Linked DNA regions of Elephas maximus indicus. The protein of the gene in region 4 interacts with the protein of the main gene of each other region in a biochemical or structural test. Links are inferred from orthologs where the notes say so. Each region holds a gene or a part of one and is shown on either strand. Other genes may lie near its edges. The genes, in order: NOTCH1, CD46, NOTCH2 and JAG1.

Region 1 (7,140 bases), on a different chromosome or scaffold from region 4:
CCCAAAAAGCAAAAAAAAAAAAGTAGCATGCATTCATTAGCATCTGACAAAGGAACATTCCGCTCTGTCCATTAAACTGCTCACAGACCTTCGTAATTGGCTTCAGTTGGTGGGCGGGGGCCCGGGGGCTGCTGGTGGGCAGGCCAGCCGGTGGTGCAGTGGGCCGGGTTGTCAGGGGAATGGGCCCATCAACGGTTGGAATGAGGGCGCGCCGGGGGCAGACCGGGAGGCGGAGTGGACGGCTCCCCAGGGCCTCCTCAGTATTCCCATCAGGGGCAAACTCAAGTTGAAGGACATCGGGGAGCAGTGAAAACGTCCCGAGGCAGACTGGCACTCCAAACAGATCTCTCAGCCCCCCTGTGCCCACTCTCCAGCTAAGCCAAGGGCCGTGGATGGCGCTCATGAGGCTGGGAGTTTGCAGAGCCAAGAGAGAAACCAGGCTTCCCGATAGACACCCCCACCCATAGAGATGGGCGGGGCCGGTTCAGGCTTCTCTCCCCAGTTTCACCCTGAGGCCTTGGCGCAATGGGCTGGGGAAGGCCCAGGCCTAGAGAGTTAGGTTTTGTTTTGAAACAGTCAATTTCTTTCTGAGAGGCTCACCTGCCCACAGGTGCTCAACCTGCCCAGAAGAGATGCTCCCCAGGTGGCAGTGGAAGTCCTGACCCCTTGACAGGTCAGCCGTTTCTCAGGGACTTCAGGGAGAAATGGGCTGCCAGGATACCCACCTAGGGCCCAGTAGGCCGAGGTGGCCACGAAGAGGGAGCCCAGGACCCTCCCTCCGAGGCCTGGCCAGCTCACGCGCAGCCTAATTGCGGGTGATTAAGTAATTGCCAGACTTTGTCCAATAAAAGTCAGCACGTGACGTGCCCAGCCTTCTGGGCCATCTCCACCAGACAATGGCCTAGTGTTCTGTCCCCGGCTGCCGCAGAAGGCAGGGACTCCCGCTCCCATAAAGCAACAGGTCCCCGTGGGGGCGCGCATACTCACAGACAGGCCTCCGTGCCATTGGCAAACACTTCACACTTCCCGCCATTCAAGCAGGTCTCCTCACCAGTCTGGGAACATCGCAGGCCTGGGGGGGCCGGGGGAGAGACAAGAGGGTCAGCAGAGCCTCGGCTTCTGGAACGGCCCATCTCTGAGGACAGAAACCTAGCCTCTGTCACCAGCTCCGGACTAAGTGCCGCCATCAGACCTCACCTCGGGGGCCCTTCACTCAGAGTCCTGGGGTTGCAGGGGCAGGGGGCACCGGGAAGCCCCAGAATGAACCCCGAAAGACTTCAAAGTTCCAGTCAGAAATGGGGGCGGGGTGGGCTGGCAGGTGGACAGGCAGTGCTCAAAGTGGGGAGTGACTGATATGCCCCCTGGCAGCAGCGGAGAAAAGTGATGTCTCCCGGCGCCACTCTCCCAACTTTACACCCCCACCTCCCCAGTTTTCTTCAGAGAGCCACACGGGGCTGGGGGCTAGGGCCCCCACCCAGCCACTGAGGCTGTCTTGATGTTTAAACACGCTGCCGGGACGTGGTGGCGGCGGGAGGGTCGGGGCCGCCACACTCGGCTCCCCGCTCGTGGGAAAATGCGACAGCTGCGTGGCCCGCCGCCCCGCCCGCCAACAGAGCGCCGTCGCGGAATCAGAGCGGGCCATTGTCGCGCCGGCCGCCTCCTGCGTCCTGGCCGCCCCGCCCCTGCGGACACCCAATACCTGCTCCCGCGGGGCCATCTCCAGGGGCAGCCCCACCACACCCATGGGAGGGTGGGGAGCCCCGCTGGGAAGGAATGCGACCCCCTTCCCGAGAACCGGTCCATAAACGAGGCCCCGCCCTTCCCTCTCACCCGCCGGACAAGTGAAGCCGTCGGGGGGCGGGGGGAGGGCGCTGTGACAGGGACTCGACTTTCTGAAAGGGGGAAAAATTCTCACCACCAACTTTTTGGGAAGACAGGAATTAATCACCAGATTGCCCGGAGACCCTCGGGATGGGAATCGGGCCAGGAACCGCGCTCCCTCCCACGTCTCTCTCCACCCCCCCCAAGATCGCCAAACTTGAACTCCGCGGAGCAAAGCGAAACTCGGTCCCACCAAGGCGAGTCTTCCGCACTCCCCCAAAAAGTCTGTAATCCGGGATCCGCACCCCCCCCCAAAGAAAGGCTGTGAGCCGGGCTGGCGGCCGGCGATCCCGCCCGGGGAGGGGAAGTCCGCGGGGGTCGGGGACCGGAGCCGCTCCACGCGCCAGCCCGCGCGAACCTTCCTGAAGGCCAAGGAGGCCGGTCGGCCCGGACCCCGCTTCCCACGGCGCCTTGCCGGCCCCGGCCGCGAGGGCTGGCCAAGGGGAACACAGAGCCGGGACCCCACGCTCCGCGCCCCAACATCCGCCCCCGGCGCGGGCCCAATGCGCAGAAACAAGACTAATGGCTCCGAGAAGCAACAGGAAACCAAAACCCACTAGATTCAAATCGAAAAGTGGTAGGCAGTCCGCGCGCCACGCGGCAAGCCCACGCGTGGCCGGGGAAGGCGAGCTTGGCGGCGGGGCCCCAGACCCCGGGACCGGCGCCCCGCGCCCAGCTCTTGATGCGGCCCCGGCGCCGGGCAGCGCGAGTCCGCCCTGCCTTGGGGGTGGGGGTGTCCCAGTCCTGGCCCGGGACTCCCGGTCTCCTCGCCCCGCCCGAGGCCCCCGGGGCGCGCGCGCAGCGCCGCCAAAGTTGGAGAGGGGCGCGGAAAGTTGCGGGCTCGCGGGGCGGCGCCTACCTCGTGCAGCGGGGAACGCCGGCAGCAGCACCAGGCAGAGCAGCGGCGCCAGGAGCGGCGGCATGCCTGCTTCCCCGCGGCGCTCCGCTGGCTGGGCGGCTGGCTGGGCGCACTCGCGCCGGGGGTCCCGCTCCGCCCTCTGCTTCCCGGGGGCGGGCGGGCGGCGCTGGCTCTCGCGGGCTCCGGCACCGGCTCCGCTTGCGATTGGTACCCAGCGCTCGCCCCGCGCCTTGCGCTCCCTCCCGCAGGCCGAGGCACTAGTGAGGCGCTGGGCCGCCTTGTGTTCCGCCCCGCCGGGCCCCGCCCCGCCCCGCCGGGCGGCCCCGCCCCACCGTGAAGCCCCGCCCCTCACACCCCATCCGCGATCCGTCTGAACCCCGATTCCCGGCCGGCTGCGCCCCTCGGCTGTGCACCCCGGGATGCGCCCCTCGGTGGGAACGCGCTGCCAGGCCAGGCGCTCGGGACCGGGGCCGCGCTCGGGAGGGTGGGCCAGGGCAGGCACTACTTGTTGGTTCGAAGTTTCCGAGGCCAAAACTTTGGGACGCATTGCGGAAGGATCCGTCTCGGCCGCTGCCGCCTCGGCGACAATTGGGGACAATTTGCATCTCAATGGCTGAGGAGGAGCGGCGGAGTGGGGAAATGAGAGGCCCCGGAACCGTGCCGGCGGGGCAGGGGCCGGGAGGCTGGGCTGATCCGCCGAGGCCGAGCTTGGGGATCCCGGCCCGGGCGGGGCTCCACTCCCAGGGCCCTGCTCCGGCCCGAGAGCCCAGGCCTGACTCCCACCGGGACGGCCGCAGCGCTTGGCCCTGAGGACCATGGCGCCACGGTTCAGCCTCTGGGGAATGGAGTCGGGCACCCCGAGGGGAGGCCCGCAGCCACCGTCTCGCGAGGGGGGCGCTCAGCGGCTCCCCCGGAGGGCCCCACGGTGGACGCTCCTCATTACTGCCTGCCCCTGGCGCCAACCACCCGTGGGCCCTGGAGAGCCAGCCCTGGCGCGGCCTCCGGGCTGGCCTACACGTGCTCTGCCTGGGCGATGTGTTTCTCTGCGCGATGCCCCAATAGGGTGCCCTGTGCCAAGCCGGCTAAGCGCTGGGCGCCCAGAATGACTGCCACAGTCCCTGTCCACCAAAGGTAGACGGACTAGCCCCAGGGACAGGCACCCCATCCTGCATCAGGGCAGTGAGCCCAAGGGCAGGAGGTGCACCCACCGAGCTGCGCGTCCTGGAGTAGGCGATGCCAGCTGAGGGGTAAAGGCTGAGAGACCTAGTGGGGAAGGGTGTTGGGGATGGGAACACCCACAGGACTGCTGGGGTCCCCAGGCTTCTGGAGGAAAGGAGGCAGCCCTGCTTAGGGAGGTGGGCAGACTCCCACATGGCCAAGCCCGCTTCCTGCCTGTCTTGGCCCACCTGTTGCTGCGCAGCCACCGCAGGGAGACCCTGCCAGTCCAGCCCCTCGGCTGCTGGAGGCCCTTGGCTGCTGGAAGCCCCCGGGCGCCTCCTCCCAGAAGCTGGCGGCCCTCCTTGGAACCTTGGGTAACTTCTCGAGGTCAGTGCCCCAAGGAGGCGCCTCCAAGTAGTGGATATGTTTATGTAAGAGCAGCCGGCAGCCTGGAGGAGCAGGCTTTCCCCTAAAAGGAAGAGAGGGGTGCAGTCCCCACCCCATTTACAGACCTGGGACTCCGGGGGCATCTCACCCCCAGGCCCCTCTGCCTCTGGCCCGACTCAGGGCCTCAGGCCTGGCCCCTCAGGGTGCCACTGCCTCTGTGCCTTCTATCTGACCTCACCAATTTCCCTGGGCCACAAGTGAAGGCCCGTCCAGCTCTGTTCTGGGAGCCACTGCACACCCATCCACCCAGGAGCAGGCTGGAAGGCCAGGGGAGGAGACGGGGAGCACAGCATGGGGTCTGGGGGTCTGGGTCCAGCTGTAAGGATAGCCTGTCCACTCTGAGCCTCTGTCCTCCATCAGTGGGAAGATTGTGGCCCACTGGATGCCCATGGTCCGACCATGCAGGAAGTGGGCCCTCTCATTACCCACCTTACAGACAGCAACTGAGCCACAGACCGTGCAGCTGGCCTCCCAGCTGGGCTGCCTAAGGTCTCCACCACCTGGGGTCCCTACAAATGGCCAGGAGCAAGGGGACCCCAGGAAAGCCAAATGTAGCTGGAGGTGCAGAGGCTGAGGGTGTGGGCCGGGTAGGGACCTCCCCTCCCCTGAGGCCTGAGAACGAACGGGTGGGCCTGACTCCTGGCAAGTAGGTGAGAAGCTTTTTTATTCACAAATTAGGCTGAATATTTCTGACCTTCCTGTCTTTTACCCACTTTGGCCTGGCCAGGGAGAATGGGGCTCCTGACCAAGCAAGAGTGAGGCTAGGACTTCTGTGACCTTCTCCAGTGGGGGCAAGCAGCCTGGGGGTAACCCTGGGAAGTGGGCCTTGGGGGAGCTATGGAGAAATGATGGGGGGTGTATGTGGGGCACCTGGGATCCCAGCAGTAGAGTGTGGGAGGGACCTGGAGAAGCTGAATGGGGGCTCCAACTATGATGCAGCTTGTTGTGGGTACCCCTGGGCTGCACCCAAGCTGGCCAGGGAACCTGGGACCAGTCTGGGGGAGACTGGAGGGGTAGCTTGCAGAGGGGGGCAGGGGTGCCCAGTGGCCACCTTCTTCTCCAGGTGCCAGCATTATTGGGGTATCCTCATGGGAGGGGCTGGGGAGGCCTACTGACATTGGCCCATTCCTGTCCCCCAAAGGAAGCCCTCCCAGCTCCAGCCTGCAGGGCCATGGCCACTACTTTTCAGGACAGATGGGTCCTATGTTAACATAGAGGTGTCTGTCTGGCCCCAGCGTCTGGGCCCTTCTTTGTAGCAGTCAGCCCACAGACACTCAGGCGGTGCCTGCTGTGTACTCAGCCCCGGTTCTGTGAGGCACAGAGACCCTGGCCACCCGGTATGACCTTCAGCATGTGCAGACAGCTCAGGGCGGGTAAGGCTTCAGAGGGGAATCTGAGATCACAGGAGAGCAGTTTCCCCTGAAGTTCCAGGTGCCCTCCATGACCCCTGCAGGCCTGGGGGGCACGACACTCCCCATTTTACAGGTGAGGGAGTTGGGGTTCAGAGATGCTGTTAGGAGACTGGCTAGGGGGCAGCAGGCCCAGCATTGGTCTTCTGCAGGCGCCCGGCAGATGGGCCCAGAAAGCGGTGGGCTGTCTGTGTACGCGGCAGTGCTGGGGACCTTGCCCTGAACCCCACCCTCAAGCTCATGCCCATGATATGGGGGCGGCAGCCTGGAAGAGGTGCAGGGAAAGGAAGCTTGGTGTGGGGAGGGTGGCTTGGAGTCTTCAGGCCAAGAGGAGGCTGGGGTGGTGGTCAGGAGGCCAAAGTTTGGAGGATGGACTGACTGTGGGCGTGGCATGGTATGGCATGGCTCGTGGTGAGTGATGTGTCTCATCTGAGTGGTGGGTGCCACTGGGGAGTTGTGGGAAGATCCGGAATGCCTAGGGGTGAGGCCTCTCCACCCTTCGAAGTTCACTGTAAAATCTCTGACCTGCTTGCCAAGCTCCAGCCCTGGGGCCTGAGAAGTGGCCAGCTCCAGGGGTTCTCCTGCCTAGTGCTGCACCCCACAGTCAGGCCTACACCAGACCTGTCCGTCAGCTCTGAGCCAAGCACTGGACTCCAAATTCCGGCCTACCACTGCCCTGCTGGCCGTCCACGGGCTATCACTCACCCTGGGCCTCAGTGCCCATCGAACGAGTGATCCTAAAGCCTTTTTCCATTTCAAAAGTGGCCGGTCAACTTCGGAGGATTTCACCCCTCCTATAATAAAAAAAAATAAATAAAATAATTTTTTTTTTTTTTATTGGGACCAGGTCAGGAATGATTCTGTAACTGCAGACGTAAATGAGGGCAGCGTATACATTGCAAGACAACCAAATCTGTTGCCCGTCAGACTTTGACCAGTCAGACTTTGACCCACCAGACTTTGACCCGTCAGACTTTGACCCAGGAGGAAACGAACAGCGATGCCCTGTTCAAAGATGGCGGCTGGCTGCGCTCCTTGGAATGTGTGTCACTCTCCGCAGTCCTGCCAATAATCCAGCCTCCCGCATTAGGCTCCTGAAATTTTCGGGATCTGGCAGTTACAGAACTGTTCGCAACCTGTTGGAAGCCCTGCCTGAGAGTGGAAAGGGGCTGGCTGATCTCTAGTGTTTGCTTCCCTGCCCCCACCCCATCACAGAGCCCCTCTCCCCCAGGCCCAAGAGTGCACCCAGCTGCCCGCACCTGGCCAGCCTGCTTGCAGGTACTAGATCCCGCCCTGGGACATATTTGCCAGGCCCTGATGGGGGAGCCCCTCAGGCTCCACAACCCCTTCTCTTGCCTCCAGGTCTCACAAACATTTCTTGCTGAG
Region 2 (7,667 bases), on a different chromosome or scaffold from region 4:
TTTCAAAAAATTCCTTGTTTTCTTCTCATCACCACTGCTTTTTAATGGTGAAGAAAAGGAACCCCCAACCAAAATGAACTTTTTAATGATCAGTGAGAAGGGAGACTGAAGTTCTGTGAGCTCTGGAAAGTCTACGTAAACAGGGAAGACAGATACTTTCTGACCCTAAGCCGCCCCTGCCGTACTACTTACACACCACAGAAAGGCCATCCTAAACATGGCTCTTTAAAGAACTTTCCTCCTGGAGAGCAGGAAGAATTAACTTCTTCCTGGGCTCTAAGCCCCTGTCAAATATATTTGCTGGTACTTAACAGCTACAAATCAAAAAAACCAAACCAGTTGCCATGGAGATGACCCCACCTCATGGTGACCTCATATGTGTGCAGAGTAGAACTGTGCCCCATAGGGTTTTCAAGGCTGTAACCTTTTGGAAGCGGATTGCCAGGCCTTTCTTCCGAGGTGCCTCTGCATGGGTTTGAACCACTAACCTTTTGGTTAGCAGTCATGCACTTAACTATTTGCACCAAAATTTGGGCCTTTAGCACCTTAAGTCTGACAAGACAAGATGTCTATCTTGTGGGGAGAGACAGAGAACATAAAAGATAGTTTTGGCAGGATGATCAAAAGTTAGCAGGTAGACGAATGTCTGTCTACCTCAGAGAGGGTGGTCAGAAAAGGCCTCTCTGAAGGGGGAACACCCCTGCTAGCTGGCAGGATAAGAAGGAGCTAATTATTTGGAGAGGCGGGAGAGTGTGCCAAGGCACAGGGAACAGCAAGTGCAGACACCCTAAAGCTGCAGAGCTTGGCCCATGTGCTGAGGAGAAAATCTGCTTCCAGTCATTTGTTAAATGCAATAGAGAATCGTGCTCCTTTCTTCCATAGCATTTCTTTTAGTTTATAATATATTCGTTAGCATGATGTTATGGATAATATCTACCAAAAAAAAAAAAACCACACCCGTTGCCATCCAGCTGATTCTGACTCATAGCGACCCTACAGTGACCCTACAGGACAGAGCAGAACTGCCCCACAGGGTTTCCACGGAGTGCCTCGTGGATTCAAACTGCCGACCTTTTGGTTTGCAGCCGTAGCTCTCAGCTGCTGCGCTACCAGGGCTCCGGATAATGTCTATCACCCTTTAAATTCTACTAATATTTAGTGATTGCCCACTATGTGCCTGGCACTGGGGCTATAACAGTGGACAAAACAAATAAGGGTGGAGAGAGTGGAGCGGTACCTTGAACCTCCAACCTTTCAGTTAGCAGCCTAGAGCAGTTAACCGTTTGCACTACTACAGACTTCTACATGTAACCGGATCCTAAAGATAACCTGGGCATAGAGACACAGGTGCACAGACTAGAAGGAACACACCAAAATATTAAAAAATAGCTGACCTTTGTGCAAGTTGCATACGATAGAAACACACACACACGTATTTTTTTTTTTTTTTACCATTTTTTAAGTACTTATCCCATTCAATAAAATATGAAACAAGCTTAGTGGGATAGACCCTCTGCTTTAGTTTATGAACTGTAGGGGCCACATTAACATTTCTTTCTTAGGACACTAATTTCTTACTAGGTTTGGCTACCAAGGTACCACGGCTTGCAAATATGCCCTCAAATATGGCACAATCTAATGAAAAGAAGGAAAACAATGCCCAAAAGCCGTTAGGTAATAGAATTAGAAACTGCTTTAAAAAAAAATTTTTTTTTTTTTATATTGGGTTTTTTTTTTTTTAGGAGCAGAAAGATGGCTCGGGGCGGGGGGGTGGGGGAAGAGCAAGCAGCAATCTGCCAAAGAAGAGCGCTCCTCTGCCGTGGACCAACACGGTCACCGGCAAGGAGCCTGTTTCCAGAAGGTTTAAAAAGCTAAGTTCCCTTTCCATCCCCCTAAACCTTGGCATCTAGTGCCTGCTCCGACCGCAAGCACAACAAGCACAATGTACCCTCCCCAACCCCACAGCTCGAACTCATTCATACAAAGCAAAACGAGCGTTTCCTGGCTCCACACTCGGTACCGCCAAGTAGGGCCCCCTCAACGTCCGCAAAGTACACTCTGCGCCAAAAGCGTACCTGGGCTCCGCCACCCCAGCCTTCAACGCGGATACTGCAGAGACCTTGGCAACACTCGAGACCCCAAGTCACCTCATACCAAGCCCTCACCGAAGCACGCCATCTGCTCCCCTTCCGGGTGAGCCTCAGTCCCAGAAACACCGCCCTGGCCCTTGCTGGCGGCACAGCACGGCTCCAGCCAACGGCGGCTGTGCCTCTCCGCCAGCACTCACAGCACAGCTAAGGAAACCCCCCAAAACCAAACCCACTGCTGTCCAGTCGATTCCGACTCATAGCGACCCTACAGGACAGAGCAGAACTGCCCCACAGAGTTTCCAAGGAGCGCCCGGTGGATTCGAACTGCGGACCTTTTGGTTAGCAACCGTAGCACCTAACCACTAGGCAACCAGGGTTTCCACAGCTAAGAAAGGTTCATTTAAATCACCGTAAACACGGCACAGCCGCTGTAAAAACACCTGCGGCGGCCACCACCTCCGCACCGCCCAGTTCCGTACTGCAACCAAGCCATGCAACTCATGGTCCCCCCAAATCCCGGCGCAGCGCGACCCCGGCGAACCTTGCCATGCCCTACACCATAAGATACACGACCCAGGTCAGCCGAGCGCGGGCCTCCTCGCCCGCCCAGCAGCCTTCCGGACTGCGCGCGCACCCTCGCCGGGGTCTTACCGGTGTGTTTAATTAGCAGGTGGAACACTACAGACATCAAAACCGCTCCCAAGGAGCACCAGGAAGTAAAGGGACTCTCGCGGCGGCAAGCAGGGGCCGTGGGCGGCGCGGCAGACACTGTCATTTTCCCGGTGATCCGGCGGAAACCCGAGAGCCTTCGGGGCAGAGAAACCCCCCAGAGCCTGGCTATCAGACGCAACAATCCTCAGCCTCACGAAGTAACAAGTACCCAACAGCAGGTGGGCGTGGCCCGGACCACGCCCCGGGCGGAAGTGACTTGTAGTACAGGAGCCAGGTGAGGCCAATCGGCGCCCTGGAAGGCGGGGCCAATCGGCGCCCTGGAGGGCGGGGCCAATCGGCGCGCTGGAGGGCGGGGCCAATCGGCGCGCTGGAAGGCGGGGCCTCGGTGCCCAGGCTTGCAGGCAGAAGGCGGCCGCCTAAGGGGCCGGAATAGATGGGTGTGGCCTGACTAACCCAAGGGGTTTTGAAAGTGGCCGCCAGCTCCCCTGGAATGGGGCGTGACTGCTCTTGCTACATCCGCTCTTCAGCGTTACAGCTGGGTGAACCGGGTTACCGCCCTGCCCAGGAAGGGCGGACGGGAAACTTGTTCCTTTACTGGGAACTGGGCATTGAAGAATAAAAGGCACTGGGCTAAAAATGGACACCAAGGGTGCAGGAAGTGGGTCACTGTGTATCTCAGTCATCTAGTGCTGCTATAACAGAAATACCACAAGTGGATGACTTTAACAGAGAAGTTTATTCTCTCACAGTCCAGTAGGCTACATGTCCGAATTCAGGGCGCTGGCTACTGGGGAAGGATTCCTCTCTCTCTGGGCTCCAGAGGAAGGTCCTTGTCATGGGTCTTCTCTGGGAGCTTCTTAGCAGGGGGAACCTCAGGTCCAAGGGATGCCCTGTGCTCTCCGTGCTGCTTTTTTGGTGGTATGAGGTCCCCAACTCTGCTTGCTTCCCTTTCTTTTCACCTCTTGAGAGATAAAAGGTGGTGCAGGCCACACCCCATGAAAACTCCCTTTACATTGGCTCAGGGATGTGACCTGGTAAGGGTGTTACAATCCCACCCTAATCCTCTCTAACATAAAATTACAATCACAAAATGGAGAATAATCACACAATACTGGGAATCATGGCCCTAACCAAGTCGATATACACGTTTTTGAGGGGACATAATTCAATCCATGACACTGTGGAACCAGCACCCCTCAGAGCCCCATTGTCCTGGGGCACTCCGGGTGGTCTGGACTACTTGCGTCTTTACCCAATATTTGGCATGAATCAGGCATGATTAAGGATCGTACTTGCTTAAGAAGTGCCTTCTGCTAAACCCTCTCAACACCTGCTGGTTTTCAAAATCACAAAGAGGGTTTGGCCACTGCACTCCCAACCCTGAGTGGAAATTGCTCTTCCTGGACTTCCTTCAGAGACCCCATGGGAAGGTGAATTGTTTAGAAACAGGACGATTAGCATATTGCACCTCAATTCTGTGTAGCTCTTGCTCTTGAGCAGCTGAATGTTTTATTGAAGGTGAAATGTACACTCATAAAAAATGTAAAGACAGGGTGTTTTAAGTGCCAAATTCCTAGAAGCAATGAATGCCTTAGGAGATGGGATGGGTTAAATGGAGTGGATCAGGAGGAGAACTTTTCTGGTGAGAGAATCTCTCCAACAACCCCTAAAAATTAAGAATGAGTAAGATTTATCAGTAGAGCTGCGAGTAAGCCTGTGTGACAACGTAAATAAATAAAAGTAACCTGACTGGTATTTTAAAAGCGGTCAAAAGAGTATAAAAACATCAGCCAGTGTTGGGCAAGGAGGGGCATCACTCCCTAACTTTTAGTGGAAAAACAAAACTTTGGAGGTCAGGTTAGCAGTACGTTAAAGGTCTTAAAATGGACATGACTTTTAAACCACAGTCTCACTTACCTAGTGCCGTCGAGTCAATTCCAACTCATAGTGACCCTATAGGACAGAGTAGAAGCGCCCCATAGAGTTTCCAAGGAGAGTCTGGCGGATTCGAACTGCCGACCCTTTGGTTAGCAGCTGTAGCACTTAGCTTATCCCAAAACATCAGCGCTGTGAGCAAAGATTTGTAATTTTGGAAAAAATGTAAGTGCTGAGGGTCTAGTAAGACCATTGAAGAATTTATGGTAGGTACTTTTATGTGATGAAATCCTATGTAGCAAGTGTTGTAAAAGATCACTCTGATATATCAGTATGTACATCATGACGTTCATTTTATTAAAACAAAAGCACCATATTAATGTGCTTAAAAGGAGACTAGTTGGAAACATACCAAAATTAACAGTAGTTGATAGGCTTATGGATATTTTGTTTTCTTTGTGCTTTCAGTTTTATAAGTTTTCCGCATTGATCCTATGTTACATTTGGTCAAAGGTTAGTTTTAAAACTCTAACCCATGTACCCAGTGATATTTTGTTAACAGAATGATGAGGATGGAACCTGTGTTACACAGGGATAAGGTATGAGAGGATGGTGAGGAAATGAAGGCCCTCTAGGAAGCTCGAATGGTCCTTCTGTAATTACTACAGTTTATATATATTTAACATAACTCTGTATCTGAGATGCACTGAAGATTTTCTGGGTTCACCAACCCATAGAATTTCCTTTTCCTGTGAAAATTTTGTGAATTCTTGACAAAGCATAGAAAACACTTAGTGTAGAGGTGGTATGCAAAGTAAACACCTTACTATCTTGGATTTTAAAATGCTGACGTTCCATGATGATACTTAAAGGAAGTAAACTTAAAATAAGGAAACAGTGAATAGGAAACTTAATGATGGGGAAATGTCATTTCTGTTAATGCTTACAGTTGTGAAAGTGATATGACAGAAACATTCTGTGACTCAATATTGCACTTATTTGTGAAAGCAGAAAATCTGTTTATTATTCTCTGCAACAATAAATACTAAAAATGTCCCATCTGGCTCTGCTGGTCTCACCCCATCTGGAGCAAGGGAGAATGAAGGAAACCAAAGACTCAGGTGAAAGATTAGCCCAGATGACTAATGGATCACAAATACTACAGCCTCTACCAGACTGAGTCTAGCACTACTAGATGGTGCCTGCCTACCACCACCCACTGCTCTAACAGGGATCACAGTGGAGGGTCCCAGACAGAGATGGAGAAAAATGTTGAACAAAATTCTAACTCACACACACACACAAAAAAAAAGACCAGACTTACTGGTCTAGCAAAGACCGCGGAAACCCAGAGAGTGTGGCCCCCAGACACCCTTTTAGCTCAGTACTGAAGTCACTCCTGAAGTTCACCCTTCAGCCAAAGATTAGATAGGCCCACAAAATAAAAGGAGACTAAAGGGGTACACCAGCCCAGGGGCAAGGACTAGAAGGCAGGAGGGGACAGGAAAGCCAGTAATAGGGAACCCAAGGTCGAGGAGGGGAGAAATGTTGACATGTCATGGTGTTGACAACCAATGTAACTAAACAATATGTGGACTAATTGTTTAATGAGAAGCTAGTTTGTTCTGTGAACCTTCATCTGAAGTACAATTTTAAGAAAAAGTCCTATCTGTTTTGAAGCTTAGAAGTAGGAGTTTTTTCACTTGAGAAAATTAAAAAGATAGGAGGAAAAAAAATGGCTAGTGTTCGGTTTCCTAGTTTCAGGTACTAAATTAGATTCAAGAATATTATCTTACAGGAACCTTTCAGACAATGAAATTTTCTATGCTTCGAGTTCATCAAGCCATTTTTCAGGTAATTGAAGACTTTCACATTTGATTTCTTACACTAATTTTTAAAAATAATTTTTATTGTGCTTTAAGTGAAAGTTTACAAATCAAGTCAGTCTGTCACATATAAACTTATATACACCTTACTATATACTCCCACTTACTCTCCCCCCAATGAGTCAGCCCGCTCCCTCCTTCCAGTCTCTCCTTTTGTGACCGTTTTTGCCAGTTTCTAACCCCCTGTACCCTCCCATCTTCCCTTTAGACAGGAGATGCCAACATAGTCACAAGTGTCCACCTGATACAAATAGCTCACTCCTCATCAGCATCTCTCTCCAAACCATTGTCCAATCCAATCCATGTCTGATGAATTGTCTTTGGCAACGGTTCCTGTCCTGGGCCAACAGAAGGTTTGGGGACCATGACCACTGGTATTCTTCTAGCCTTAATCAGACCAATAAGTCTGATCTTTTTATGAGAATTTGGGGTCTGCATCCCACTGATCTCCTGCTCCCTCAGGGGTTCTCTGTTGTGCTCCCTGTCAGGGCAGTCATCTGTTGCGGCCGGGCACCATCCAGTTCTTCTGGTCCCAGGATGACATAAGTCTCTAGTTCATGTGGCCCTTTCTGCCTCTTGGGCTGATAATTACCTTGTGACCTTGGTGTTCTTCATTCTCTTTTGATCCAGGTGGGTTGAGACTAATTGATGCATCTTAGATGGCCACTTGTTAGCATTTAAGACCCCAGACACCACACTTCAAAGTGGGATGCAGAATGTTTTCTTAATAGAATTTATTTTGCCAGTTGACTTAGATGTCCCCTGAAGCCATGGTCCCCAAACCCCCACCCTTGCTCCACTGACCTTCCAAGCATTCAGTTTATTCAGGGAACTCCTTTGCTTTTGGTCTAGTCCAGTTGAGCTGACTTTCCCTGTATTGAGTGTTGTCCTTCCCTTCACCTAAAGTACTTCTTATCTTCTATCTAATCAGTAAATAACTCTCTCCTACCCTCCCTCCCTCCCCCCTCTCGTAACCACAAAAGAATGTGTTCTTAGTTTAAACTATTTCTCAAGATCTTATAACAGTGCTCTTATACAATATTTGTCTTTTGCCTCTGACTAGTTTCACTCAGCATAATGCCTTCCAGGTTCCTCCATGTTATGAAATGTTTCACAGATTCACCATTGTTCTTTATCGATGTGT
Region 3 (6,990 bases), on a different chromosome or scaffold from region 4:
CTCTTTGTAACTTTTTTTAAAAAGTAAGAATTCAGCTGAGAAATTATCCAGCAGGCAGCTAAGCCAGGCAGTCACTTCCCATTGCAAAGCAGAAGAAAACAAGGAGCAACTGGTGGTCCTGGATAATTGTTTAGACAATCAGACAGATGGGTTGACAGCTCCTTGGGTTAAGAACTCAGTGATGTTTAAATTAACAATTGGCTACAAGCCAAATTCAGGAACCCTCAAAAGGTTGGAAGGGTGTGTTATAATTGGTACCTTGATAAAACACAATGACAACAGATTAAGAAGATCCAAGAAGCCTTCGCTGTTAGAATCTGAGATTTAAGATTTTGTACTAAGTAACCAGCTTTAACCTCTTCCATTGCAGTAGTTTAGCACCTGAAAAACACCTGTCTAAAAATCAAAATGTCTAAATCTTGTCCTTTGAGCTAACTTGACTAACACTCAATTTATCCACCTAAAAGCTAAGAATAGCAAGACATTCCCAGTACAAATGCATAAAGGAGGATACAGTTCAAGGCACTGAGGCCCTAGATGAGACACGCCCTATGTGTCATGGTCATTGTATTCCTGACATCAGTCTTATAACTTAACACTTAATTTTGCAAATCATTTTACAGTCCTATTTGTTATTCCCTATAAATCTCAGAGGTAGGTTATTCCTTTGGTCCCATTTCATAGGTGAAGATTACTTACTAAAACAAGTTAATGGTAGACCAGGAATGTAACCCTCAGACTAGCCCATTATTCCCACTCCTCTCTATCCTAAATCTACACTTACACTAATCCTTTCACTCAAGGACAAAAGGAAAGACAAAAATACCATCATATTTTTTTTTTTTAATTAAATGCTTTAGAAACTACAATCATGGTTCATCATCACACAACCTCCTGGTCCACTTTTGAAATTCTCTGAGACTTCGAGGTGTATGGAACTTGAACTTCCAAGAAGTGTCTGGTGCTGAATAACCCAGTACTACGTTTTTCAGGTGATAAATAGCTTGTTCTCTTTTAAGCATCTGTGACAGGAACATCCACTGCCTGCTGACAATGAACAAAGACCAACTTTTCCTGAAACTCATCATAACTTTTTCTTTGAAAGAGACCAAGCTCATGTAGCATGGTGTTTTTGTTTATGTGTGCATGTGTTGTGTGTATGTGTGTGTGTGTATACATATACGTACACACATATATATCCGTGTGTGTATATATATATACACACATACATATACAAATAAAGGTAAGATCTTTCTTAGATTACACTCAGGAAAGAGGGGTCCCTTTCCATTCAATAAACATACCCAACACACATCCTACTACAAGGAGTGAGACGACAGGGAGTACAGAAAAAATAAAACACAGCCCATTCTCTGAACGTGCTCTCCGAACAACTTTTGAGTACCATGGGTTTAATTTACTTATCTTAATTAATCCTTTTAGCTGGGTAATTTCATTTCCATCTTACTGGTGAGCTCATACAGCAGAACCAAATTTGAACCCAGGATTAGAGAGTGAGCAGGGTTCCAAAGCCCAAACTCTCCACTGAACAGCCTGAAGAAATTTAGAATCTCAGAGTGCAGTGGGATGATTAAAATATGATTCAATTTCCTTTCCTTGGTCCAACTGTATTCGAAAAGGCTGCTGCAAATATCCAACCATAAAGAGGCTTTCTAAGGAAGCATTTTGAATCAACGTATCCACTTTTCCTCACCCGCTCCTGCGCCCTCCCCCCACCCCAAGGCAAAAGAACAGTAAAATGTTGCTGCCAGGTTGGCGGAGTTGGTGATCGTCACACCACATTCCTGGGGCTGGACACAGACTGAAACAGCGCCCGAGCTCCGCGCCTCGGAAAGAATAACAGCAGTTGAGATTTTTAAATCATGTGGCTCAGCATGCGGCCACACCAGTTTCTCTACTGCTCCTGCCACCACCTTTCAAAGACGCCAGCAAAACACACCCGACTCATCGGGACCATCCGGTTGGAGTGTCAAAACTCCGGCGCACTGCAAAATCCTGTCCCCACCCAAAAACCCACTCATCCACCCAGACTGTGTGCCTGCCTTTGGCAAAACTCTGTCTGACTGTGAAGGTGCAAGCCGTTGGGCTTGGCGGCCCTGCCCCCGCTCTCTCCACGCCGGAATCTGGCATTCCTTGGCTTAGCCCAACTGTGGTCCGCTGCGGGCGAGGGTTCGCCTCGGTGGCTCTGCCTCGCCTCTACCCCGACCTCAGCAAACGCGGAACCAAAAAGGCAAAACTGCCCAACTCCCCGAACTTCAGGACTGGAAAATGAGAATTTCTAAGACTTTGCTGCCCGGCTCCCTCTGGCAGAGGAGGCGTGTGTGGGGCAATGGGCCGAGGGGAGCAGGAGGCAGAGGAGAGCGCAGGGGAGAGGGCGCCTGGAAAGGGGGCCCCCCGATGATGTCCAAACTTTCGGGAACCAAGTGGCCCCACTCCGCTCCGGTGGCGAAGCCCCGGCCTTGTCCTGCGCGCAGCGGGAGGACAAGAGTAGAGAGGAAGGGTCGCCCCAGGTGGCCCCGGCCGCGGCGGGGGCGGCGGTGCGCGGCCCCGGCTCAGGGGACAGCACCCCCCAGCCCTATACTCACCATGCGCGGGGGCGGTGCGGCACAGCCAGAGCGCCAGCAGCGCCCACAGCCGAGCGGGGCGCAGGGCAGGCATCTTCTCCGTCGCCTCCTCCGCCGCCGCCGCCGCCTGGGCAGATCCACATGGGGAGGGGGTCCCTACACAGGAGCCCCCACTTTCTCCTTCCCTCCTACTGCTTCTGCGGTTCACAGCCTCGCGCGGCGCCCTGAAGCTCAGGCTTAAATGCCTCGACTCCCTGCACCCGAAGTCGCCGCTCCCCGGCCGCCGCCTCAGTCGCCGCCCGAAGTTTGGCTGAAACTTTCTCGGGTGTGCAGCGAAGCAACCTCGTGTGTCCTTCCGCCTCGGCCGCCTCCTCCCACCGCAAAGCCCCGCCCCCCTGTCGCCGGGGCCTCGGCCCGCCGCCTTCGGCACCCAGGGGTTTCCCGCAGGAAGAAGCGCCGGTCAAAGCTCCACGCGGAGGGATCTACTACGACTTGTTAGACCCCCTCCCACCCCCCACACACCCATCTCCCCTCAACCCGGGTCCCGATGCGCCTTAACTCAATCGACGCTGGAGCCGCACACTTCTGAAGGGGGTGGACGTTAGGACTCTGAACTTCAAACACTAAGGCTGCCTGGACCGTGAACTTGCAGGGAGAGACAGACCTCATCCAGTGAGACAGGTATCACCCCCACACACTCACACATCCATACACCCCCTGCTAGCTAAAGGGATGCGGTAGAGAGGGACCAGTGCTGTCAAAGAAGGAAATGGGGGCTAGGGCGCCAAAGTCCATTTTAAATGAACAGAACCATCAACTGAGTTGTGTTGCACTATTCATTCATTCAGCAAATATGTTTTAAGCGCCTTACTTTGTGAAGCAGTGTGCTAGGCACAATGGAATGATAGCAAAGGCTCGTGATGTACAAGCTACTCTGAGTTCTGAGGAGAGAGACTACTGTGGGCTGGAGGGTCCAGGGAAGGGTTTTATGGAGGAGGTGGGAAGGGAGCAGGATCTTGAAAGGTTAGTAAAATTTGTATAAGAACACAAGCTAAGAATACTCATTGCAACATTGTAATAGCCAAAAATTGGAAACAAACTAAAGGCCCACCAATAGAGGAATGGATGAATAATGTATTACCATATTTATATTTATAAAATGAAATACAATACAGTAGTTGGAAAGACTGTATTCATATATGTCAACAGGGATAAATCTTAAAAACAAAATGATAGTGGAAAAAACTAATTGCAGAGGTGACAAAGTATAATACCCTTCATATACAAGTAAACTTTTTTCAAAACATTGCTATATATTGTTTATGGATGCATATGTATATAGTAAAAGGATCTAACCAGAATGGTGGCCACTTCCAGGGCAGAAGAGTGGGGGGTGTGATCAGGCCTGGGTCATCATATGTAAGACTAAAAAAAACCAAATCTGTTGCTGTCGAGTCAATTCTGACTCATATGGAATTAACCAAAAAGTTGTACAGGGAGAGCAGCATTCCAGGGGAGAGCCACCCTAAAAGCAAAGACGCAGACAAGGGAATAAGTAGATAGTTCCAGCATTGCTAGTAGTGCGGGGAGTCAAGGAGGAAAGGGCAGGTTGGGACCAGATTATGCAGGGCCATAGAAAACCACTGACAGTTCTTGAACAGGGTGAGACTTGATGGAAAGGAAGGTTGCTCTGATATCCCGTGCAAAATTGATTGTTTGGAGACAGAGGTAAACTCGAGCCCAAGGACCACTCAGGAGTTTGTGAAAAAATTCAGGCATGACTGGGACTGGAGGAACCCCGGAGGCCATGGACCCCAGACCTTCTGTTGCCCCAAGGCAGGAACCATTCCCAAAACCAACTCTTCAGACAGGGATTAGACTGGAATAGGGGATGGAAAATGAGACTGGTGAAGAACAAGCTTCTTGGAACAAGTGGACACATGATACTATGTTGGCATCTCCTGTCTGGAGGGGAGATGAGAGGGCACAGGGGGCCAGAAGCTGCCCAAATGGACACAAGGAGAGAGAGTGGAGGGAAGGACTGTGCTATCTCATCAGACAGAGAGCAATTCAGAGTGTATAGCAAGGTGTATGTAAATTTTTGTATGAGAGACTAACCTGATTTGTAAACTTTCACTTGAAGCACAACAAAACTTAATTTAAAAAAATTAGAAGAATACTAAAAAAAAAAAAACAAACAAACAAAAAAAAAACCCAGGCATGGGGTGATGAAGGCCTAAATTAATGAGGTGGAAATCACCATGGGAGAGAAAGGATGGATTTGACACACCCACTGCAGTCGAGTTGATTCTGCCAGATCTGAGGCAATATGAAATAAAGGGAAGGGGGGCAAACTTATGGGACTAACTCAATGTGGGAGTTTACAGTCTAGTTGGGATGGGAAATCCTATCCATAAAGCCTCTCCCTGGTTCCTATAAGATAAAGTCCAAACTTTTAAAAAGGCCTTTCCGTCGTTGTACTCCTGCCTGGTCTCCAGCCTCATCTCCTCTCATCCCTGCCCCCTGCCCCTTGAACTTTACACAACAACAATATATATTGAACAACTTGAGACTCCCCAAATGTCCATGAACAGATGAATGGATAAACAAAATGCAGTACATACAAAAGAAATGAAGTTGCGATCCATGCTAAAACATGAATGAACCTTGAAAACATTATACTAAGTGAAATGTCAGGCACAAAAGAACATATATGAACCCGCTTATATGAAATATAGAGTAAGCAAACACGTAGAGAAAAAAGGAATGGTTACCAGGGACTCAGTGGAGGGAGGAGTGGGGAGTGATAGCTTTTTGGGCATGGTTTCTTTCTGGTGTAATGAAAAGTTTTGGAAATGGATAGTGGTGATGATTGCACATGATGAATGTAATTAATGTCACTGAATTGTACACTTAAAAATTGTTAAAATGGCAAAGGCTTTGTAATATAAATTTTACCACATTAACATTAAAAAATTAGGAGAGGCAACTTCTGGAAAATTAAAAGGAAATGAGAGTAGATGGCAAAGAGAAACAGACCACCCAAGGCCTGAACCTTGCTGTTTAAATCTCTGTTTTCTGTTCCCTTGGCTTAGAATGACTCTTGGAGCCTCCGTCCCTGCCCCACTTGGTGAACTGACCATCACCATTCTTCAGTCCCCAGCAGGCTTTGCCTACACTATAACAAATTTCTACCCCTCACAGACAGGGCCTCCTCTATACTGCTGTTTTCTCTTGTGCCGAAATCTATTTTTCTCACAGGACTGCTTATGTGTCTGTCTTCTCAACCAGATTAGAAGGTCTTTACAGGCAAGGAGTCCCTGGAGAAGGACATCATGCTTGATAAAGTAGAGGGTCAGCAGAAAAGAGGATGGCCCTCAGTGAGATGGATTGATAGTGGCTGCAACAATGGGCTCAAGCATAATGATTGTGAGGATGACGCAAGACCGGGCAGTGGTCCGTCCTGTTGTACATAGGTTCGCTATGAGTTGGAACTGACTCGACAGCACCTAACAACAACAAAATGGGCAAGGATCAAGGCTTTATTCATCTCTGTATCCCCAGGGTCTATCACATAATGGATGTTGAATTAAGAATGGAAAACAATGCTGAACAAGTGCAAATCAGTATGAGCAATAGGCCTATGAAATTCCAAACTGTTTTTTAATAACCACTTTATCACAGATAATCAAGTACTATTATTAAAAGTAGTCACTTTTGAGATGCTAGAAACTCTTTTCAAAAATAACGTAGTCAAAATAATTTTGGAATTTCTTTTGTGCATTTGTGTTCAGAGAAAGATAATAACATTAATTTTTAGTTGTTGACCCAAATCAGTATTTCCCAGCATGACCATCCTCATTATTTCCTAAGTATAGCTGTATGACTTGGCTATACACAATTTTTTATAATTACCTAAAAAGATTGAATATGTCACTATTAAAATATATTCAGAAGAATGTACTTTGAAGGTAGTCATTTCCAAAGAGCAGCTCCTGAAATGGCCATGGCTATGACAACATTGTTAAAACAGGTATGCAATTTCTCAAGGTGACTATTTTAAAGAAAGCAACTATTATTTTCACATATGACTTATGTTGGATATTTATAATGTCAAACTTATTACATATGTTCCCACAAGGGCAAGAGGAATAAAGAGTAAACGTTATAAATGGAAGTAGAAGGTTTTGACTGAAGAGGTGCTTTGAAAGGTTTTGAAGGAGGCCAGTGGTTAAGAGCTCGGCTATTAACCAAAAGGTTGGCAGTTCAAATTCACCAGCCGCTCCTTGGAAACCCTATGGGGCAGTTCTACTCTGTCCTGTAGGGTCGCTATGAGTCAGAATCAACTCAACGGCAATGGGTTGTTTGTTTGGGCATAGACATAAATTGGCAATAATAATAATAA
Region 4 (7,539 bases):
CGCTACAATGCTTAATTTCAATATTTTGACATTGTCCACCCTATTCTTGGCACTGTACACAATACCTGGCACATATAGGTCTTCAATAACTATTTTCCCCAACATTTTATAATAAAATTTTCCTAACATATAGAAATTTAAAGAATGTTAGTTAAAACCTGTGTACCCATCAGCTAGATTCTATCATTAATTCCTCACTTTTTGTTTTGGATTCTCTGGGTGGAGGAAATAGTCAAGCACTCTGCTTCTAACAGAAAAGTTGGAGGTTCAAGTCCACCCAGAGGCACCTTGGAAGGAAGCCCTGGTATCTCCTTCTATAAAATCAGCCGCTGAAAACTCCATGACACACAGTGCTGCTGTCACACACAAGGTTGCCACGAGTGGGAACCAACCGGATGGCAACGGGACGGGATTCCTGTTGTAGCGTGTATCTATCCATTTGGCTACCTTCTGTCCATCAACCAATTCCTCTTTTTATTCATTTCAAAGTAAGTTACACATATCATTTCACTTCCTTTTAAATGCTGCGGTAGTCATATAATTAGCTGGAGTTGAATATTTGTTTACATTTTTTTTTCCTTTTCTTTTGAACTTATAATGAAGTGCACGAGTCTTAAGAGTACTATTTAATGAATATTGGTAAATGTGCACACCCATGTAATCCAAACGCCTTTCAAGATATATAAGACATGACCCAACCTAGAAGAGGTCACAAGTCCCTTCCCAGTCAATCACCACCCCACCCCTCTCCAAGCAATCAGTCTTATATTTTTTTCACCATAGATTAGTTTTGCCTGTTCCAGAACTTCATACATGAATTCTTACAGAATGTATTCTTTTGTGTCTGGCTTCTTTCACTCAGCATGGTGTTTTTGAGATCATCCATACTGCTGTGTGTAACAGTATTAATAACTACTGACTCGGGAGGGAGTGATTTCTATCACAGTGTTAACTAGTGCTTTCCGTTAACTACTGTTGTTAGTTTACTGTGGAGTCAAGTTGGACTCATGGTAACCCATGTGTGCAGGGTAGAACAGCTTCATAGGGTTTTCAAGGCTGTGACGCTTCGGAAGCAGATCTCCAGGCCTGTCTTCCAAGGTACCTCTGGGTAGGTTTGAACCACCAAACTTTTGGCTAGTAGTTGAGTGCTTAAGCATTTGTACGACCCAGGGACTCCTGCCCTTAATGAAATGTATTTAAATACAGTTTAAGGCCACCTGAATGCCTCTTACTGAGTCTTTCTGGGGGTCAGGACTACTGTTTGTTGATGACCCAGCAAAGGTGAGGCAAGAAAAATGAGGCATTGTCTTTTTAAAATTAAAGGAAGGTATGATTTGAGAAATACAGGACTGTCTCAGACTACAAGTGTCTCCTCTCTCAGGTATAGTTGTGAAGGCTAAATGAGGCCTTTTTTCACACGAATGATGTTTTGGAATGTTCACATATACTTGGAGGCCAAGGGGGCATCTCTACGTTTGAGTTCTTTCAGCAGTAGTTCCCCCTCTTCCAGGGAAGAGGACTGAGAATCAGCTGTGAGGAAGCACAGGATAGAGCTTCCACTCTGAGTCTGTTGCAGGGAACAAGACTGGCTTTTTGGGGGAGTACCAAGTGCCCCAGCTGAAATTTTTCAAAAGAATCCCCTCTAGCCCACAACTATCTTCTGGAAGGGTGACTTCCCAAGCCGAGGAAGGTTGGGGGACACAGTGCTATTTGGCACGAGAATTTTAGTGATTTGACATCCCTGATAGCACTAAGCAGGTAGTTTCAACTCCTAGGAAATCCACATTGTTTCTTATTACCACTTAAAGGGGCTAAACATACTAATGGACTAGAACCAACTCTGGCTTCTATACAGCCCAGATTGCTACCTGGAGGCACCTGTAATCTCAGGTAGCTCTCCATGGTTAAACCAGGTGTCTGGATCTAAACTCTTCAGCTAATAGCCTGGCTCTATAACCTCCTTCCTAAGGAGGTTCTAAAGCACAGACTACAGGGAATAGAGAATTAACACAAGTTTAGATATGGGGAGCTCAGAGGAGTGTGTATTTTAAGACCACAACAGTGTTCATGAATTATGTTTTTTTTTAACTTTCACTTAGCACCCCAACTCAGGGAGACTAGGAGGGTGGAGATGGAGAGGAGGTGGAAAGGAGATGGGGAGATTGGCTTATATGGAAACAGGTGAGAAAAGTCTAGAAGGAATTATAGTTGACAACCAGATGCCTAGCAATTAGATTAATTAGGGGGGAGGGGTTGCTGGGGCACACTAAGAGAAAGGCTCAGCCTAAGGCAGTGTAATTTGTCAAGGATTTCATTTTACTTGGATCCACAATCAATGTCCATGGAAGCAGCTGTCAAGAAATCAAATGACATATTGCATTTGGCAAATTTGCTGCAAAAGACCTCTTTCAAGTGTTGAAAAGCAAAGATTCACTTTGAGGGCTAACATGCACCTGACCCAAGTATTTTCAATCACCTCATATGCATTCAAAAAGCTGGACAATGAATAAGACCTGAGAATTAACGCAAAAAAAAAAAAAAGATGCATTTGAATTACGGTGCCGGTGAAGAATACTGACTATGCCACGGACTACCAGAAGAATGAAAAAATCTGCTTGGAAGAAGTGCAGTCAGAATGCTCCTTAGAAGTTAGGATGGTACTCTGGACATATTATTAGGAAGGACCGGTACCTGGAGGAGGACACCAGGCTTGGCAGAGGGGCAGCAAAAAAGAGGAAGCCTCATGAGACGGAATGACACAGTGGCTGTAACGATGGGCTCAAGCATAGCAACAATTGTGAGGATGGCACAGGACTGGGCAGCGTTTCCTTCTGTTGTACATAGGGTCGCTATGACTCCGAATTGACTCCATGGCACCTAACAACTAGGCAGCCTATGCCAGCTGTCAAAATTACTGTAAATTAATTCTGCTCTTGGATGTTCCCCTTCCAAAGTAGAATTCTCTCATTGACGGCCATCAGGATGGCACAGATTACCATTGTTAAGAAGGCATCTTTCTTAGGAGTATTTCTTGGGATGTTAAAATACCAAGAGCTCTAAACCATCCTCGGTGGCTTTGAACTGACTTAAAGAGGTCAGTTAGTTGCCATACTTTATTCCTCAGCATGATGAGGTCCGGCACTAAAAACATTTTCTATATTAAGCCTTCCACCAAAGGCAGAAAGGAGGTAATAGCCACACTTTTATGCTCTCTTAACTCAGCATGTTGGGAACTACTTTTTTCACGGCCTATTGCAGCCCAGCATGGCCCCACAGCCGGGAGGGCTTGAACCCCTAAGAGTCATGATTTCTCGCAGGACATACCCAAAATAAGGGCCAAAACATTGTCCACTCTTAAATGGAGGCCTGTCTTTCCCTAAATTGGTCCCCTCAGACCCAGCAGCAAGCCCTCTGGGGGAAGGGCTGGGCGAAGCTTCCGCCAGGCCGCTGGCTTCCTTTGACCTTAGTTAAGACTGGGAGTGTCGCTGTTAATTGTGAGGCTCGCCCAAAGGTGGAAAATAGCATCGATATCCCTTGCCACCATAGAGAAGGCAAGTCCTACTGCTGGGCGAGGCGACGAGACGACCAGCGTCTAGCCACCCAGAGAGCTGCTCGGAGGCCGCCTACAGGTGCAGTCCCGGCACTGCGGCCCGGAGAGGGTCGGCCCCGGGCCGGCGCTGGGAGTGCGGGCAAGCCCCCCGACTCCCTGCCTGCTTCTCCCAAAGCCCCGGCAGGGCCCCGGCGGGCCGCCGCCCTCTCCGCCCGCTTTCCCCGCGCTCTGCCCCTGCGCGGTTTGGAAAGGAAGCCGGGAGCCCTCCGAGGCTTCGCAGACTCGGCTGGAGAGGGCGTGGGGTGGGGTGGGGCGGCCCGAGGCCTCCCCTCGAATCTGCGGGCGAGCCTGGCTCCGGGAAGGTTTTGCAAAGTTCCCAGCAGCGCCGGCCCAGGTCGCCTCCGCGAGGCGAGCAGACGGCGGCAAGCGGGCCAGCCTCGCCGCCGCCGCCGCCATCCCTGCCGCCAACAGACCGCGCCGGGCGGCTCGTTCGCTCGCGGGAAGCGGGCCGGGCTCCCGGCGGGCAGGCCATCCTCCTGGGGCAAAAGCCGCAGCTGACGCAGGCGGGTCGGAAGCGGCCCCGCTCCGACCGCTTCGGCAGCACTGCGGCGCCTACACCTGGGGCCCCGACGGGCGGGCGGCGGCGCCCGGCTCGGGGTGCCAGCGGGGTGGCCACCTGACCCCGTGCGGCCCGGGGCCACCAGCCCATTCCGAGGTTCTCTCCGTGCTCCCTCCCCGGCCGCACCTCCTCAGTCACGCCTGGCCCCCAACTCCAGAGCACGAGGGTCTGCGCGGGGACCCCCGACGTCTACACAGCCCCGCGCCTCCCTCAGCCATTTCCAAGTTCCTCCCCGCGCTCCCCCATCCCGGGCCCCTCCTCTCCATGACCAGGGGAGGGGAGGGGCGTTTCCTGAGTGGGCCCGCCCCCTTATGAATATTAATAAGCGCGCATGCGCCCTACCCGGCGCGCTGGGTAGAGGTGGCCAGCCCGGGTCGCGGCGCCCAGACGGGCTCTCCGGGTCCTTCTCTGAGAGCCGGGCGGGCGCGCGTCATTGTGTTACCTGCCGCCGGCCCGCGAGCTGGGCTGGGTTTTTTTTTTTTTTTTCTTCATTCCCTCCCCCCTTTCCAAGCAGCTAATCTGAAAGGGAATAAAAGGCTGCGCATAATCATAATAATAAAAGAAGGGGAACGCGAGAGAGGGAAAGAAAGCCGGGAGGTGGAAGAGGAGGGGGAGCGCCTCAAAGAAGCGATCAGAATAATAAAAGGAGGCCGGGCTCTTTGCCTTCTGGAACCCGCCGCTCTTGAAAGGGCTTTTGAAAAGTGGTGTTGTTTTCCAGTCGTGCATGCTCCAATCGGCGGAGTATATCAGAGCCGGAGCGCGGCGGCCGCAGGGGCAGCGGCGACGGCAGCACCGGCGGGAACACCAGCGCGAGCAGCGGCGGCGGCGTCCCGAGTGCCCGCGGCGCGCGGCGCAGCGATGCGGTCCCCACGGACGCGCGGCCGGCCTGGGCGCCCCCTGAGCCTCCTGCTCGCTCTGCTCTGTGCCCTGCGAGCCCAGGTAGGAGCCCGCCGGGCCTCCCTCTCCCTTTCCTCGCGGCACCCTGGACGCCCGCGGTGGAGCGGGGCGGCCGCCTCCCGGCCCTCGGGCGCCCGGCTCGCGGGCCCGACCCCTGTGCCCCAGCGGCCGCACCTGGGCTGGGTTGGGCGTGCCTGCTCCCGCTTCGGGCGCTCGGGGTCTCCTAAGCGTGGCCCCTCCAGGCCGGGCTAGGGACATGTCCGTCCTGCTCTGGCCCCGCGCACTTAGTCGTCGGATTTTTTCCGCACTCGTGCGTTTTATGCCCCGGAATCACGTTGAGCCCTTGAACTCCGTTTTGCAGAATTACTTTCACTTGGCGTCCAGGGCTCGTCGGGGCGGGCGGGGAGGGAGTCGCCAGCTCCACCCTGGAAGAAAACAACTTTTCCCCGCGCTGACCTCCCTCCCTCCCTCGCCGGCAGGTGTGCGGGGCCTCCGGCCAGTTCGAGTTGGAAATCCTGTCCATGCAGAACGTGAACGGGGAGCTGCAGAACGGGAACTGCTGCGGCGGCGCCCGAAGCCCGGGGGACCGCAAGTGCACCCGCGACGAATGTGACACGTACTTCAAAGTGTGCCTCAAGGAATACCAGTCCCGCGTCACTGCCGGGGGGCCCTGCAGCTTCGGGTCGGGATCCACGCCTGTCATCGGGGGCAACACCTTCAACCTAAAGGCCAGTCGCGGCAACGACCGCAATCGCATCGTGCTGCCTTTCAGTTTCGCCTGGCCGGTGAGTGACGGACGCAGGGAGGGAGGCCCGACCGAGCCCTGCTTTCTCCTGTGAGGAGCATTTAAAGGGCCTTGGTTGGAAACCCGGCGTTAACTGGGGAGGTCTATGGGGAGTGGAGAATTAGGGAGCCGAGGCTCTGTAGTTAGACCTCCGCAGGACCGGACCAGGCGGGCCCGTTCCCCGCAGCTCTTTGCTAAGCGCGCAAAAAGTGCAGACCTCAGACAGGGTTGCGCAGCAAAACGCCCCGTAAGACCGGCTTAAACTTGCAACTTGAAGGCCCCGGAGTAAACCGTGAGCTAGGAGGTCGTTATAGGTGGTCTCTTTGCTTAACCAATTAAAGCTGGTGCGCGGTGGAAGGAGACTGCGAGCAGCTCTGGCCTTCCAAAAAAAAAAAAAAAAAAACTGTCCAAATTGGCACCCTCTCCTTTTCCGTGAGCCGCCTGGAGGGCGGGTGTGTCCTTCCTGGAGGGTCTGGGGGGAGCCCGTTTCCCGCTTCTCCCCGGGAGTTTCTGGTGCGTGCAGGGGCGAGCTCCCGGGTCGGGCGGCTGCCGCAGGGGAGTCTCGGGGCCCTTGCGGGGGCTGTCGGTTCGGGAGCCCCCGCCCCCTGCCGGCCCCTTCCTGCCCGCGCGCGGTGCAGCCCTTTTGGCCTCACTTCCAGTGGTTCCTGGGCTCTGGAACAGCTGTGTTTGCAAACTTCCCCGGGAAGGGCGGGGTGCGCCCTTGTCGGGCGGGCGTACGCCCCCGCAGGCCTTCGGGGGCGTGCCAAGGGTTGGGAAGGGGTGGCTCACTGGAGGCACTGCTGACGGGCTCGAGTGCACAGACCCTCATCCCCCTCATCCCCCTCCTCCACCCCCAGAGCTGCTTGAGGCCTGGGCCCAGCTGGACTACCCCTCAACAAAGCCCTTGCAACATCCCGAAATGGGTGGAAGGAAGATGGGTGCGATTGCAGAAAGGGAGGAAAGGGAAATGTTGGGGGTGCCCTCTGCCCAGCTCCTGCTGTCCAGGAGGTGTGACTCATTGCCAGAACTGGGGCTCAGCCCAGCACGGCCTGGGGCGGGGGGAGGGGGCTCAGCCGTAGAGGAATGCTCTCGCCACGTGCTCTGATGGGGTGGGTGCCCTCTGCTGCCTCCTACCTGTGGGCTCAGGCTGTGATTCTCAGCTCCTGGAGGGAGAGGAAAGTGTCTGGCTAGGTCTGCCGAAACTTGGGGTGGTTCCAGAAGGCCCACATTTGTAGTTGTTGGCATTGTCATGTCCTCTGCTGTGTGTGAGATAAGACAGTAATCAAAAATAGTCCATTAAACGAGAAAGGGGCTTATAAAGGCCTGTGGTGTGTGGAGTTGTCTGAGATTGGGAGGGGGGGCTGCTTCAGTTGTGGGATTTAACTTTTACAAAGAGTGTTTATCTTGTTTGTTAATCCCCTATTAGGGAGAACTTTTAAGCTAAGGAGGTCGGCCAGTTTTAAATCTGTCTGGGCCCACGTGCAATGGGAATACTGACTGCCCTTGAATGTGTGTTTGGAGTTCAGGGCGAAGGGGCCCTGCAGGTGGTTCCACGAGCAAGAGGATCAGTCCAGAGCCCCTGGCTTTTCACAAGACCATAAAAGGAATCTTATTAATGATGTAGAAAAGCAGCAGGCCTGGCTGAGGTTCATTTCGGAGGGAAGGGTCAGAGGATGGCTTGCGTGAAAA

Evidence for each region.
Region 1: the proteins of JAG1 (region 4) and NOTCH1 form a complex in vitro, tested with the Homo sapiens proteins (3 studies listed by BioGRID and IntAct, with this or other methods). The link is inferred for Elephas maximus indicus from reciprocal best matches to the Homo sapiens genes JAG1 and NOTCH1.
Region 2: the proteins of JAG1 (region 4) and CD46 form a complex in vitro, tested with the Homo sapiens proteins (2 studies listed by IntAct, with this or other methods). The link is inferred for Elephas maximus indicus from reciprocal best matches to the Homo sapiens genes JAG1 and CD46.
Region 3: the proteins of JAG1 (region 4) and NOTCH2 form a complex in vitro, tested with the Homo sapiens proteins (2 studies listed by BioGRID). The link is inferred for Elephas maximus indicus from reciprocal best matches to the Homo sapiens genes JAG1 and NOTCH2.

What each region holds. Positions count from the first base shown.
Region 1 is NC_064827.1:3,026,906-3,034,045, forward strand, and holds the start of NOTCH1 (neurogenic locus notch homolog protein 1), read right to left. Parts: upstream 3,006-7,140; 5' UTR 2,805-3,005; coding exon 2,741-2,804; intron 1,073-2,740; coding exon 988-1,072; intron 1-987. UniProt on the Homo sapiens protein: Functions as a receptor for membrane-bound ligands Jagged-1 (JAG1), Jagged-2 (JAG2) and Delta-1 (DLL1) to regulate cell-fate determination.
Region 2 is NC_064836.1:17,662,251-17,669,917, reverse strand, and holds the start of CD46 (membrane cofactor protein), read right to left. Parts: upstream 3,002-7,667; 5' UTR 2,866-3,001; coding exon 2,742-2,865; intron 1-2,741. UniProt on the Homo sapiens protein: Acts as a cofactor for complement factor I, a serine protease which protects autologous cells against complement-mediated injury by cleaving C3b and C4b deposited on host tissue.
Region 3 is NC_064821.1:159,337,405-159,344,394, forward strand, and holds the start of NOTCH2 (neurogenic locus notch homolog protein 2), read right to left. Parts: upstream 3,001-6,990; 5' UTR 2,680-3,000; coding exon 2,607-2,679; intron 1-2,606. UniProt on the Homo sapiens protein: Functions as a receptor for membrane-bound ligands Jagged-1 (JAG1), Jagged-2 (JAG2) and Delta-1 (DLL1) to regulate cell-fate determination.
Region 4 is NC_064843.1:49,503,961-49,511,499, reverse strand, and holds the start of JAG1 (protein jagged-1), read left to right. Parts: upstream 1-4,538; 5' UTR 4,539-5,027; coding exon 5,028-5,108; intron 5,109-5,545; coding exon 5,546-5,851; intron 5,852-7,539. UniProt on the Homo sapiens protein: Ligand for multiple Notch receptors and involved in the mediation of Notch signaling. May be involved in cell-fate decisions during hematopoiesis. Seems to be involved in early and late stages of mammalian cardiovascular development.